Saccharomyces cerevisiae S288C: one gene and its partners. The protein of the gene in region 2 interacts with the protein of the main gene of each other region in a biochemical or structural test. Each region holds a gene or a part of one and is shown on either strand. Other genes may lie near its edges.

Region 1 (3,980 bases), on a different chromosome or scaffold from region 2:
CTAACAAGTCCAGCCTACCATCGAATCAAACTATTGATATTAAATCTCAGTTTCAAAAAAGCCCAAAAGGGATGAAAGAGTCGTCTCCGTTAAAGGAGTTGGAAGATCCAAATTTCATAGAAGAGCAGAAAAAACTATGGGAAAAGGTTCAGAGTTCTTCCAAACAAGTAAAGTCCACATCCTCTGCATCTACTACCACATCTTCTTGGACTACGGTGACTTCTAAAGGGAAAGCACCTATAGGAACCGTTGTCTCCCCATATTCAAAAACCAATACCAGTTTAAATTCTTCATTAACGGCAAAAACTAGCACAACTTCTACTACCACTACCTTTGCTAGCATGAACAATGTTTCTCCCCGGCAAGAATTTATCAAATGGTGTAAATCACAGATGAAATTAAATTCTGGAATAACCAATAACAATGTCTTAGAACTATTATTGAGTTTACCTACGGGGCCAGAATCTAAAGAATTGATTCAAGAAACAATTTATGCCAATAGTGACGTTATGGATGGTAGAAGATTTGCCACTGAATTTATTAAAAGACGTGTTGCGTGCGAAAAACAAGGTGATGATCCACTAAGTTGGAATGAAGCGCTAGCTCTATCAGGCAATGATGACGACGGCTGGGAATTCCAAGTAGTGAGCAAGAAGAAGGGTAGAAAACACTGAAAGGAAAAGCTTCATAATTTTTTCTTTTCACTGCATATTTCTTTATCATTTATTGTTATTGTATATACTTTATAACTATTTTTTAACGCAGATAATGACAAATTCTATACATATTTTTAAAAAAACACTGAACGAGCGAATACATATCTTTGCACACAGTAGGCACTAATTGACTAATCTTCCATCATTATTTATTTTCAGCTCCCACTCTTTAATACACACTTCTTTCCGTTTCAAGATTGATTGATAACGTCTAGAGAGAGCTTGATTAAAGCAAATTTCTTTACAAACCATAACGAACAATTGAACCCAGCCCGGTTGCAATCTTTCAGCTTCTTGTAAAGTATCTTTAAATTCCAATTCAATTAATTTAACTTCAGTTTCAAATCTCTTCCAGTAATCCTCCCCAATAGAGCCATTTTTATATAGAAGGTTTATCTGAGGAGCCAACTCTTTTAACTTTAATGATCGTCTAACAGATTCTGCTCCTCTGTTCAATAAAGCGGCCTTCAACACCTTCTCGTGAATTTTTTCATTTTCACTCATTTCCTTTATTTGGAAATACAGATCATGGGCATCGTTTTCGTCAAATATGGATGGTTGCTCACTAATTTTTTTGGCCTGCTTCTTTCTGTAGCTTGAAGCAAACATCACAAGGGACACCACCAGAATAAAGACATATATGAGTGGGGTATAAACGGAGATTGATTTCGTCTCCACAATTGGCTCTTCCGTTTCAAAAAACGTCCCGTTGTTGGAGAATTTTGTTTCATTAAATTCGGACATATTGGCAAACTCAAGTAGTTGTGCGTACCTCTTTCCTGTACTTGAATTCGTTTAAATAAGCCATTTCATTAATATTTCATCAATTTTTTCACATATTATTTCAACTTTTAGACGTGTTCCTAAAACTTTTGACGTTTTTTGGCGGGTAATAAGATGCGTCTACCCATTTTAAGGAACGCCCTCGTAACATACAGAACGAAGAGTGGCAAATAATAGGACAGTACTCTGAAGAAAAATTTCCCTATACTACTGATATCGATATACATTTAAGTGAAGTATGCTTATCAGATTTAGATCAAAAAACGGTACACACAGGGTTTCTTGTCAAGAAAACGACCTTTTCGGAACGGTCATTGAAAAGTTGGTGGGTAATCTGGACCCCAATGCCGATGTCGACACATTTACTGTTTGTGAGAAGCCCGGTCAAGGTATTCATGCTGTTTCTGAACTAGCTGATCGAACAGTGATGGATCTAGGACTAAAGCACGGTGACATGCTGATCCTTAACTATTCGGACAAGCCCGCTAATGAGAAAGATGGTGTCAATGTTGAAATCGGATCCGTAGGTATTGACAGCAAGGGAATTCGTCAACACAGGTACGGTCCACTAAGGATCAAAGAACTCGCTGTAGATGAGGAACTAGAGAAAGAGGACGGATTAATTCCTCGTCAAAAATCAAAACTATGCAAGCACGGTGATAGAGGTATGTGTGAATACTGCTCGCCTTTACCTCCTTGGGACAAAGAATATCATGAGAAGAATAAGATCAAACATATATCGTTTCATTCATATCTTAAAAAGCTAAATGAAAATGCTAATAAGAAGGAGAACGGCAGCTCTTATATTTCCCCTCTTTCAGAACCTGATTTTAGAATCAATAAGCGTTGCCATAATGGCCATGAACCATGGCCTCGGGGGATATGTTCTAAATGTCAACCATCGGCAATTACATTACAACAGCAAGAATTTAGAATGGTTGACCACGTTGAATTTCAGAAGAGTGAAATAATTAATGAATTTATTCAGGCGTGGAGGTACACGGGTATGCAAAGATTTGGCTATATGTACGGATCTTATTCTAAGTATGATAACACACCTTTAGGTATAAAGGCCGTCGTTGAGGCGATATACGAGCCCCCTCAGCATGATGAGCAAGACGGTTTAACCATGGACGTAGAACAGGTCAAGAATGAAATGCTACAGATTGATAGACAGGCTCAAGAAATGGGGCTTTCGCGAATTGGCCTAATATTTACAGATTTATCTGACGCGGGAGCTGGGGATGGGTCTGTTTTTTGCAAAAGACATAAGGATTCGTTTTTTCTTTCATCATTAGAAGTTATTATGGCTGCTAGGCATCAAACAAGGCATCCTAATGTAAGCAAGTATAGCGAACAAGGTTTTTTTTCTTCCAAGTTTGTAACTTGCGTTATATCAGGTAATTTGGAAGGTGAAATTGATATTTCGAGCTACCAAGTATCCACAGAAGCTGAAGCATTGGTTACTGCAGATATGATAAGTGGGTCCACATTTCCTTCAATGGCATATATTAATGACACTACAGATGAAAGATATGTACCTGAGATATTTTACATGAAGTCGAATGAATATGGTATAACAGTGAAGGAAAATGCGAAGCCTGCATTTCCGGTAGACTATCTTTTAGTGACGCTGACTCATGGGTTCCCGAATACCGATACGGAAACCAACTCGAAATTCGTTAGTTCCACCGGATTTCCATGGAGCAATCGACAAGCTATGGGGCAATCTCAAGATTATCAAGAATTAAAAAAGTATTTATTCAATGTGGCTTCAAGTGGAGATTTCAATCTTTTGCATGAAAAAATCTCGAACTTTCATTTACTATTATACATAAATTCTCTGCAGATACTCTCTCCAGACGAATGGAAGTTACTAATAGAATCTGCTGTGAAAAATGAATGGGAAGAATCTCTACTAAAACTTGTCTCATCGGCTGGTTGGCAAACGTTAGTCATGATCCTTCAGGAAAGCGGCTAGGAGAGACTGTAAGATTTGAGGTTTTAGATTAAAAAAATAGAAATGCGCGGAAGGTAAAATTGAGCCTTTTTTATTTTAAAACTATGTAAATCATCCAAAATAGTAGACGTTTCTAGAACGTCCCCTTACCAAAAATCACATCATACGAGGAGTTTTAAGGAACAATAACTGGGAGTCGCTTTTACAAATTGGTATATATTAAGGTACTCTTGATATAAACCAAAGGACTTTGCCGTTTAGAGATTTTTATTTATGAAATCTTGTATATAGATTTTGGAAATATCCCTTAAAACTTCCTTTTTTTTTTTTTTTTACCTGTAACAGACGTAACCAAAGGATATAATATAATGAGCACTCCATTTGGCTTAGATTTAGGTAACAATAACTCAGTACTAGCAGTTGCCAGAAATAGGGGTATTGATGTCGTTGTCAATGAAGTTTCTAATAGGTCTACACCATCCTTGGTCGGCTTTGGCCCCAGAAATAGGTACTTAGGTGAA
Region 2 (5,658 bases):
TTGCACAAAGTTGGTATTCCAGATGCTAACATATTAAAATGGGATATCAAAGAAACTTCCCGTGGTGGTCCCTTTGACGAAATTCCACAAGCTGATATTTTTATCAATTGTATATATCTATCGAAGCCAATTGCTCCTTTCACTAACATGGAGAAACTGAATAATCCTAACAGAAGACTAAGGACCGTGGTGGACGTATCAGCAGACACTACCAACCCTCACAACCCCATCCCAATATACACTGTGGCTACTGTGTTTAACAAACCTACCGTTCTGGTACCTACCACTGCCGGGCCTAAATTATCTGTCATCTCTATTGATCACTTGCCTTCTTTGCTGCCAAGAGAAGCTTCAGAATTTTTCTCTCATGATCTCTTACCATCTTTAGAGCTCCTACCTCAAAGAAAAACTGCTCCTGTCTGGGTTAGAGCCAAGAAATTGTTCGATAGACATTGCGCTCGTGTTAAAAGATCTTCAAGATTGTAGTTTACATTTAAAGTATATACATTATCGTTACGCTGACATTTACAAGTTTAATTTTTTTTTGACTTTTTTTAAATGACTTTCTCTTCTTTTAAGTGTACTGTCTTTTCATTATACACACATATATATATATATATACGTAAAAAAGCAGACTAACTGACAATTAAATCGTTCAACATTCTTGTTGTTTGCAGGTTTGATAATTTTGACCTGAATGCAGTTTTCATCCTTTCATTTCCCAGCAAGAACTTTGCTAATGCAATTCTCAAGTACTCTGAGATTAATTCGCTTATATGATTGATGGAACTATCTTGGTTGCCAAATTTGTACATGATGAACCATGTCAAAAGTAGTAGTGTTAAGGGTATCCAGAAAAATATTAACATTTTATCATTTCGGAAGTTTTGTTTGTTTTGGAAGAATCTGTTAAACTGTTTTTTCAAAAATTCTTCCTCTTCCTCATAATCCTCTTCCTCCGAATTTTCAGAGTTTTCAATATTAGATGCTGACTGCTCCACAATACTGTCTTGATTTGTGGTTTTCAATTTATCATCTTTACCCCAAGACAACGGGAACAGATCCTCATATTTTGGTAAGTCATCATTAATTCGATGTAAAACTCTATTCCAGAGAGATGTACTACCATTATCCTCTTCGGGTTCGTTGGCGCTAGATCCAATATCAAGGAGTTCGCTTTGTTCCTCCCTGCATGCAACACCTGGTTTTTCTACTTCGTCAGTGACGAACAGATCTTCATCCCCGTCTTCTTCGAAATCACTTTGGTCGTACTCAGAGTAACTTGAATTCTCAAATAGTTGCAAGGTTGGATGCTGAATCTCCATAGAAGTGGGATTTATCATGCTTTGGCTTTCGAATAAGTTCTCATTCAAAGATTCATTGTCTAGCAGGCTTGAATTGAAACTGGATTGTGAATATTTCCTGCTAATAGAATAATTACTGTCTGTTTCTACACTATCGGTAAACTTCGTACCGTTTTGGAATTCTTCAAACAATGACAATACTTCGCTGATATAAGTGTCATTATGAACAAACTTATGGTTGTCTCTGTTATCTTGTTTTTTGTCTATTTCCTTTGAATGAATGTGGTTTGCTATGAATACTTCTCTTGCAGTTAATCCGTTGTGTGACCTCAGTGAATAATTTACTTTACAATTTAAAAGCATCTTAATAATTTTAGGGTCACCACTTATGCAAGCAAAATGTAATGGAGTTAGCCCAAAGGAATCAATATCGTTAACACGAGCACCCTTTTTAATCAATGTATACACAAGGCTTGAGTAATTTTTCAAACAGGCAAGATGTAATAAAGTTCTCCCTAATGAATCACATATGGAAATATTGGAATTTATGTTCAATGATTTTATAACTTTTTGTATCAAGACTTCATCGGAGTAAAGAACACTTGTGTTCAGATTCATACTGTGTTGGTTTGGAGAGGGACCTGTGCTTTTTGAACAGCTGTTGCCATTTGTACCGCTATCAGGAGAATCATTGCCAACAATCCTCTTCGCGATATTTCTTGCATCTTCTAACTTACCATTCATTTTTAATCCCACAATTTGCAAAGCCAATTCAATCAGTTGCCTATCAGTATCATCAACATAGGTAAATATGGCCTTTTTATTGTCATTGATCTCAATTTCTTGGGGAAGGTCATCGTTATTATTTTCATTATTCGTATCAGTAATAGAGACGAAAACTTGACCCGCGTAGGCAGCGGGAGGGAGATAAGTGACGATCGTGGTCTCACTCCAGCATTGCGTAGAAAGGGCAAGATTAGAGCCGAACTTTACAGAAAGACCATCTTTGAAGTTACAACCCAGTAATGTAACTTCGATACCACCATTGATTGGGCCTTGTGAAGGTATAACGCGATTAATTGATGGCAAATTATTGTTGTTGTTTTTCATTGAGAAATCTTGCATTGAATGTAAAGCTGGATTCATCGTATTTGTTGCACTGATTGAATTTGAAAAGGAATGCTTGAATAGGGGTTTACCAATGTCATTTTCCAAATTATTGCGTGCTCTTTTCCGTTGGTTCAATTGACTCTGTTGTTCAATATTTGTCAAAGAGATAGTACGGACGGGATTGTCATTATCGCGATGATGATAGTTAAATGATTCTGAGCCTTCTTCGCTCATAGATGTTGGTGATGGAATATGCTGATTGGGCAGAGAAAGGTTCAGTGATAAGTTATTGTTCTGAAGCAAATCTGTCTGTTGAGAGATGGAATATGGGAATGGTACGTTTTTGTCTTTCAGTGGAATATTATTCATTTGACTGTCATTATCATATGGGTTGTGTTGATAAGTATATTGAAATGGCATATTTTCGTCTTTGCTCAATTGGTTGTTATCCGTTGAATAATATTCTGTGGTAGATTCTTCTTCCGTTAGCTGCCTTCTGGACGAGGTAGTAGTGTTATTAAACTTGGTGGTATCCATATTTGCTGGTTTTCTATCCGTGATCATAATAGGTGTTGTCGTAAACTTACCCAACAGTCTATTTTGCCAATCTGTTATAGTGAATAATATGACAAAGCCATTATTTGCCTTATGGTGCCTGCAATAACAAACTAGCCTGGTAGTTAATTCAAACTCCTTAACATTATCGAAAGTTTTCATTATGGGGAAAACCTGTTTGTTATTGAACACGACTAACCTTCTATTAATATTATTACACCAGAGTAAATTGTCTGCAATACCTGATTTCCTTCTAGCGGCTCTTCTTTGTTCTCGCTTAACACACTTGGTACAAACATTTGTCGTTCTGTTGCTGACCGCACATAGAACAAACGCATTGATGTACAGAAGATTTTTCTTGAAGTCTTCTGAAAAATCCTCGATATTTTTTTTTAAATAAAACTTTTCTCTTGAAATGGAATCGCTAGGCAAGTAAAGCATGCTTTGGTTTAGTGGTGTTTCAGACGTAATTTTCACTTTCAGTTTCAGTTGATTTTCCACTCTAGATACTTGTGGCAAACCTGAGACCTCTACATCCAAAGGTAGCTGCGCTGCGTTCACTTTAAGGTAATCTAAAGGATTTATGTAAACAGATTGAATCGTCTCCTTTCTTCCAAATACAATCTCGTCATGAGCAGGGTTGCCTATATTTTTTTCATTAAAAACCTTATTTTCATGCTCGTCCTCTTCTTCCTCCTTCAAGGCTCTGTTACTTTCCATTTCCTCCTCCAGTGGAGTGGACACGTTTTGGTTGACATGAGTATTGTTACCGATACCTTCGAAAGACAACAGGTTGGGCGAATCACCCTCATCTGTCTTGATAAAATTTTGGAAATTAGCACCCTCATCAATATTAATATGCGCCATGCTATCATCCTGGTACATGGGAGACCCGTTCAGGAGGAAATCGTCCAAGAGCTGTGATTCCATTACGCTATTCGCGTGCAATTGAGATATATGAGGGTCGCTTCCAGGTGTTTCCGTTAAGAACTCACTGTTCTGCTGCATAACGAAATGTTCTGTTCGCCAAAATGACCTTCAATAAGTGCCTTTAAATGCACAATAAGGGGGGGAAGCAGGATCTAGTCTTAACGACCCCAAGAACGACTGTTGATCAAGCGCCGCTGTCCTTTTAAAAGGCTTTCGGCGGCTGTATTTTCTGGTTTAGAGCTCACCCATTTGAAAATGTTGAGTTTTTTGTCATGATCCACGATATAAAAAGAAATACGACATTTCTAGGGTAACATCAGAATGCCCTTGCTTTTATTGTTAGGGTTATTTTCAAAAGTAGAATTTTGGAAATAAGTCCTAGCCTTTTTGTAACACTAACCCTGAGACAAAGTGCCAGATAAGATAAGATGGATTGGCAAATAAATGGGGAAAGATAAGCGAGGTAAGACTGATAAGAAGCATATGCGGTCTATTCATGTGCATTCGCATATATAAGTCAGTAACTGTCATCCAATCGCTCTTGATGCTTATCTTGTAGGGCAAAAAATCTTTGAAGCAAAGATATGGTGACCGTGGTGGCGGAGACATTGACGAAAGAGTCCTTCGAGGAGTATGGGACGATAATTTCGCCAGATGAAGAGATTTCAAGGATGCAAAACCTTGAAAAAGGTGCAAACCAGGGAACAGCGATCAAATTGCTTCAAGTAAGCCAGGTAGAGAATAAATCTACCAGTAAAGTTCCCAATTGGAACCTATTCCGTTGCTTTCCACAGCCGCACCTGAATAGAGTATTCACTCAAGGCTCCAATCAGGCGATTTCTCATTCTATCAAAGTCCTCGAAAAGCATCCGTGTAGTACGCAGACGTTTGTGCCTATGGGGAGAACGTCAGCGGAAGTAGCATACTTGGTAGTAGTCGCTAAAGAAATTGGAAATAAGCCAGACTTGTCTACGTTGAGGGCTTTTACATGTTTGGGTAATCAGGCCGTTACCTATGGCTTAGGTACCTGGCATGCGCCCATGATAGTACTTGGCAAGGAAGAACATTTGGATTTTTCAGTCTTAATCTACGAAAGTCTGGACCCTGACAGGCCCGAGAAGGACTGTGTGGAAGAACACTACAGCGATGGCGACGTTTGTATTATCATCTAATTCTGCGACTGTGGGCGAAGTAAATATGTAAATGTTCATGTATTAGTAATTTCATAGGTTTACGATTATCGACATAAAATCTCCGCTGAAAGTTGCGGTGCGATAGAATACCGCGGATTTTGGAAAATTGCGTTTGCTTTTCTTATCACATAAATTGAATTTCATAAGTTTTGGCTTATCTTGGATAAGGTACATCGTGAAAGTATCACAAAGATTGGATAGTTTCGTCAATTGGTGAAGCAATAAGTATAAAATGGGGACATTTACGCATGTAGTCTTAATTCTTCACTTTCTGTGCAGTTGATATCACTTAGAGTATGTGTCATAGGCACGGTAAAGAGCACTGAACAATGGTGAAGATAAGCTTGGACAACACTGCTCTATACGCAGACATCGACACGACTCCTCAATTTGAACCTTCCAAAACTACTGTAGCTGATATTTTAACAAAAGATGCCTTAGAGTTCATTGTTTTGCTGCATAGAACTTTCAATTCAACACGGAAACAGCTTTTAGCCAACAGAAGCAATTTACAATCAAAGTTAGACTCTGGTGAATACCGATTTGATTTCTTGCCGGAAACCGAA
Region 3 (4,484 bases), on a different chromosome or scaffold from region 2:
TACCATGGGCAATAAGCAGATACAAGTAATGGGTTTACCGGGAACAGTAATCGTCTGTAGTTCCTTCAGCTTTTTCTCAGCGGAAATTTCAAAAAGTTTCAAGTTGTCTTTCTCGTTCATTGTAGATACTAGAAGTATATTATCCACAATGGACATGTCTGAAGGTATGGATAACTCACTTTCATCAACACCGTACAGTTTCCAATAATCTGATTTTAATTTTTTAGTTGTATAATAGTCATTGAAGTTGTCTGATGCTTTTCGCAAAATCGGTGAATTCATTTTCGAAGTATTGTTTTGCCACGTTTTTTTGTATGTGGATAAAGTCATCATCGATTGTAAAATCCTCTTTTTATCTGATCTCTTCTTTATATTAATAGCAGGCTGACGAAAAATATTTGTTGGTTCGTAGTATTTGGTATCTTGCATAATATTAATACGTGTCACTCTCACTATCACACCTACAATCAAATTTTTTAGCAAACACAGATTAAAATTTGGAAGTCATGCAAGAAGAAGAAGCCAAAAGATAGTTTGAGGAAAGCTTGGGAGAGATATTTCTACCTTTTTATATATTGTAAAACGTTTACGCACTTATTTATGTAAACCAGTAAGCACCCACCCAGCTATGTCGTCATGACTACAAATTGGTTATGAACCAAGCCTTATTCAGTAAACCAGCAAATTTAACATCATGCCGGCATTGAATCATACATAGAAATCAACACAATAGCTTTGAGAACTGAGAATGTAGCTTTGACGCTGCTATTATTATTTGGTATTGTTTACCTTTTAATGTTTATTTGTTTAGAAAACAGACTGCTGGTTTGTTTACATTTGAGAGCAGAAAAAAAAAATTGCTGGCGCAGACCAGCCGCACAGTCACGTGACAGTATACGATCATGTGATCTTACGTACATAATGACATTATACGAGAAAGGGGAAAAAACAAAAATTTAGTGGAAATTTTTGGTAAAGACCAAATTGCAGTGATCTTCATGGTGAAAGGTAATATTTTTTGCTGGCGGGGGAGGGGGCTTCTATCTCGACAATTAAAAGACATACGCTTAACCATTTTTAGGGTACTCGAGTATCGCATCTGCTAATTGATAAAAGGACTTTGTTGTGTTTTGAGGCTGTTTTCCATTTTCTTCGTTAGAGCTACAAGAGTCGACTTTTTCGTTAAACAAAAACGATTATAAGATAATAAGCGCTGTCAGTTTTTTCCACAGTTTTGGACTTGTTACTATAATTCGTGAAGCACATTTTGCAAGTGAGTCAAAATTTCAGTTCAGTCCTTCTTTAGAAGAGTGAGTGCGTAGCAAATAAAACAGCAGGAAATAATTGCTTGTTTTTGTGTGTAAGTACCTTTTAGTTGGAACTACCGAATATAGTGTTATTCGACTTTCACTTTCATAAGCCACAGCTTTTTCTTAGTGCGTTTTTAGTTCGATAAATTTACCAAAAACTATTTTCCCCTTTTCTTATTCCCTTTTCTTTGTTAGCTTGGGTATTATATTTAAAGTAACAGAAAGGAAAGAAAAAAGAAAAAAAATGCCTTCATCCATATCCGTCAAGTTAGTGGCTGCAGAGTCATTATATAAGAGGGACGTATTCCGTTCCCCGGATCCGTTTGCTGTTCTGACTATTGATGGTTACCAAACCAAATCTACATCCGCAGCGAAGAAAACGTTAAATCCCTACTGGAATGAGACTTTCAAATTCGACGATATCAATGAAAATTCTATTTTAACCATCCAAGTCTTTGATCAAAAGAAATTTAAAAAGAAGGATCAAGGGTTTCTTGGCGTGGTTAACGTCCGCGTGGGTGATGTTTTGGGCCATTTGGATGAAGATACTGCTACATCGAGTGGTAGACCTCGCGAAGAAACTATTACTCGTGATTTAAAAAAATCTAATGACGGAATGGCCGTCAGCGGTAGGTTGATTGTTGTTTTATCAAAACTACCTTCGTCAAGTCCGCATTCACAAGCTCCTTCTGGCCATACTGCATCTTCTAGTACGAATACAAGTTCAACTACTCGAACAAATGGTCATTCTACTTCCTCCACCCGTAATCATTCAACGTCTCATCCTTCCAGAGGCACCGCGCAAGCAGTAGAATCAACTCTTCAAAGCGGTACAACAGCTGCTACTAATACGGCAACAACCAGTCACCGTTCCACCAATTCCACATCCAGTGCTACCAGACAATACTCTTCGTTTGAAGACCAGTATGGTCGTTTACCCCCTGGTTGGGAGAGAAGGACCGATAACTTTGGTCGTACATATTACGTCGATCATAACACAAGGACTACCACTTGGAAACGTCCAACGCTCGATCAAACAGAAGCCGAACGTGGCAACCAATTAAATGCAAATACTGAGTTAGAGAGAAGGCAGCATAGGGGAAGAACTTTACCTGGTGGATCATCAGATAATTCCTCTGTAACAGTTCAAGTGGGAGGTGGTTCCAATATACCTCCTGTTAATGGTGCAGCAGCAGCAGCGTTTGCAGCTACAGGTGGTACCACATCTGGTTTAGGCGAATTACCTTCAGGCTGGGAGCAGCGATTTACTCCAGAAGGAAGAGCTTATTTCGTTGACCATAATACTAGAACAACCACTTGGGTGGATCCAAGGAGACAACAGTATATACGTACTTATGGCCCTACAAATACCACCATTCAGCAACAACCGGTCTCCCAATTAGGTCCTTTGCCTTCTGGATGGGAAATGAGATTGACCAATACGGCACGTGTATATTTCGTTGACCACAATACAAAAACAACGACCTGGGATGACCCAAGACTTCCATCATCGCTAGACCAAAATGTTCCACAATACAAGCGTGACTTCAGACGTAAGGTTATTTATTTCAGGTCCCAGCCCGCTCTTAGAATATTGCCGGGACAATGTCATATTAAAGTACGTAGAAAGAACATTTTTGAGGATGCTTATCAAGAAATTATGAGACAAACCCCAGAAGATTTAAAGAAAAGATTAATGATCAAGTTTGATGGTGAGGAAGGTTTAGATTACGGTGGTGTTTCCAGAGAATTTTTCTTTTTATTATCACATGAGATGTTTAATCCATTTTATTGTTTGTTTGAATATTCTGCGTATGACAACTATACCATTCAAATAAATCCTAACAGTGGCATCAACCCCGAACATTTGAACTATTTCAAATTCATTGGTAGAGTTGTGGGTCTTGGTGTTTTCCATAGAAGATTTTTGGATGCATTCTTTGTAGGTGCACTTTACAAAATGATGCTACGTAAAAAAGTCGTATTGCAAGATATGGAAGGTGTTGACGCAGAGGTGTATAACTCATTAAACTGGATGCTTGAGAATAGTATAGATGGTGTCTTGGATCTGACGTTCAGTGCCGACGATGAAAGATTCGGTGAAGTTGTAACAGTGGATTTGAAGCCAGATGGGAGAAATATTGAAGTTACTGATGGTAATAAGAAAGAATATGTCGAATTATATACCCAATGGAGAATTGTTGATAGAGTTCAAGAACAATTTAAGGCATTCATGGATGGTTTTAACGAATTAATCCCCGAAGACTTAGTAACTGTGTTTGATGAGCGTGAACTAGAACTATTGATCGGTGGTATTGCGGAAATTGACATTGAAGATTGGAAGAAACACACTGATTATCGTGGTTACCAAGAGTCAGACGAGGTCATTCAATGGTTTTGGAAGTGTGTCAGTGAATGGGATAATGAACAAAGAGCCCGTTTATTGCAGTTCACCACTGGTACTTCTCGTATACCTGTCAACGGGTTTAAAGATTTGCAAGGCTCTGATGGTCCAAGAAGATTCACTATTGAAAAAGCTGGTGAAGTACAACAATTGCCAAAATCTCACACATGTTTTAACAGAGTTGATTTGCCACAATACGTTGATTATGACAGCATGAAACAGAAGCTAACATTGGCCGTGGAAGAAACCATAGGGTTTGGTCAAGAATGATTATTCCGCACCAATTTTTTTTTTATTTATGGTGTCCGTTTTCCCAACATTCTTTCTGCCTCAATCATCTTGTTTTATATTTCAGCTAACAATAGTAAAGAGAAAACTCTTTTTTGTTAATTTTATCTGAGTTGCTCATGAAATGATTAATCATTGTTGTTTTTACAGCAACATGGAAAGCAGCAAAGAAAATGCAGGAAAACGTGAAGTGCTTTTTTTGATGATTACGCAAAGTTCTTTTCAAGTTCGCCATAAGAGGAGGTTTTCCTTTTCAAAAGGAGCATGATACCAATAATTTATATTGCCTTACGCCTCTTATTTTTTATATCCTCTTTTTAGATTTTATTAATTTTTTTTTTTATTTATATACATATAATGTGCCCTGCTTTTTACAACCATACGTTTTTTGTTTTTTAATTTTCTTGCATTTTAAAACTGAATAGTGACCTGGGTATTATACTACAGTTGAAATTGCTCTCGTGAGGTACATACTTGAAACG

What was found.
Region 1: the proteins of MGA2 (region 2) and NPL4 form a complex in vitro, tested with the Saccharomyces cerevisiae proteins (one study listed by BioGRID).
Region 3: of the proteins of MGA2 (region 2) and RSP5, one has a biochemical effect on the other in vitro, tested with the Saccharomyces cerevisiae proteins (5 studies listed by BioGRID, with this or other methods).

Annotation. Positions count from the first base shown.
Region 1 is NC_001134.8:575,844-579,823, reverse strand, and holds NPL4 (nuclear protein localization protein 4), read left to right. Parts: upstream 1-1,737; coding exon 1,738-3,480; downstream 3,481-3,980. Other genes in the region: SMY2 (Smy2p), read left to right, coding at 1-674; Sec63 complex subunit SEC66, read right to left, coding at 840-1,460; adenyl-nucleotide exchange factor SSE2, read left to right, coding at 3,828-3,980. UniProt on the Saccharomyces cerevisiae protein: Substrate-recruiting cofactor of the CDC48-NPL4-UFD1 segregase. Assists CDC48 in the dislocation of misfolded, polyubiquitinated ERAD substrates that are subsequently delivered to the proteasome for degradation.
Region 2 is NC_001141.2:414,443-420,100, reverse strand, and holds MGA2 (Mga2p), read right to left. Parts: upstream 3,978-5,658; coding exon 636-3,977; downstream 1-635. Other genes in the region: LYS1 (saccharopine dehydrogenase (NAD+, L-lysine-forming)), read left to right, coding at 1-486; DAL3 (ureidoglycolate hydrolase), read left to right, coding at 4,484-5,071; malate synthase DAL7, read left to right, coding at 5,422-5,658.
Region 3 is NC_001137.3:408,635-413,118, forward strand, and holds RSP5 (NEDD4 family E3 ubiquitin-protein ligase), read left to right. Parts: upstream 1-1,554; coding exon 1,555-3,984; downstream 3,985-4,484. Other genes in the region: DSE1 (Dse1p), read right to left, coding at 1-429. UniProt on the Saccharomyces cerevisiae protein: E3 ubiquitin-protein ligase which accepts ubiquitin from an E2 ubiquitin-conjugating enzyme in the form of a thioester and then directly transfers the ubiquitin to targeted substrates.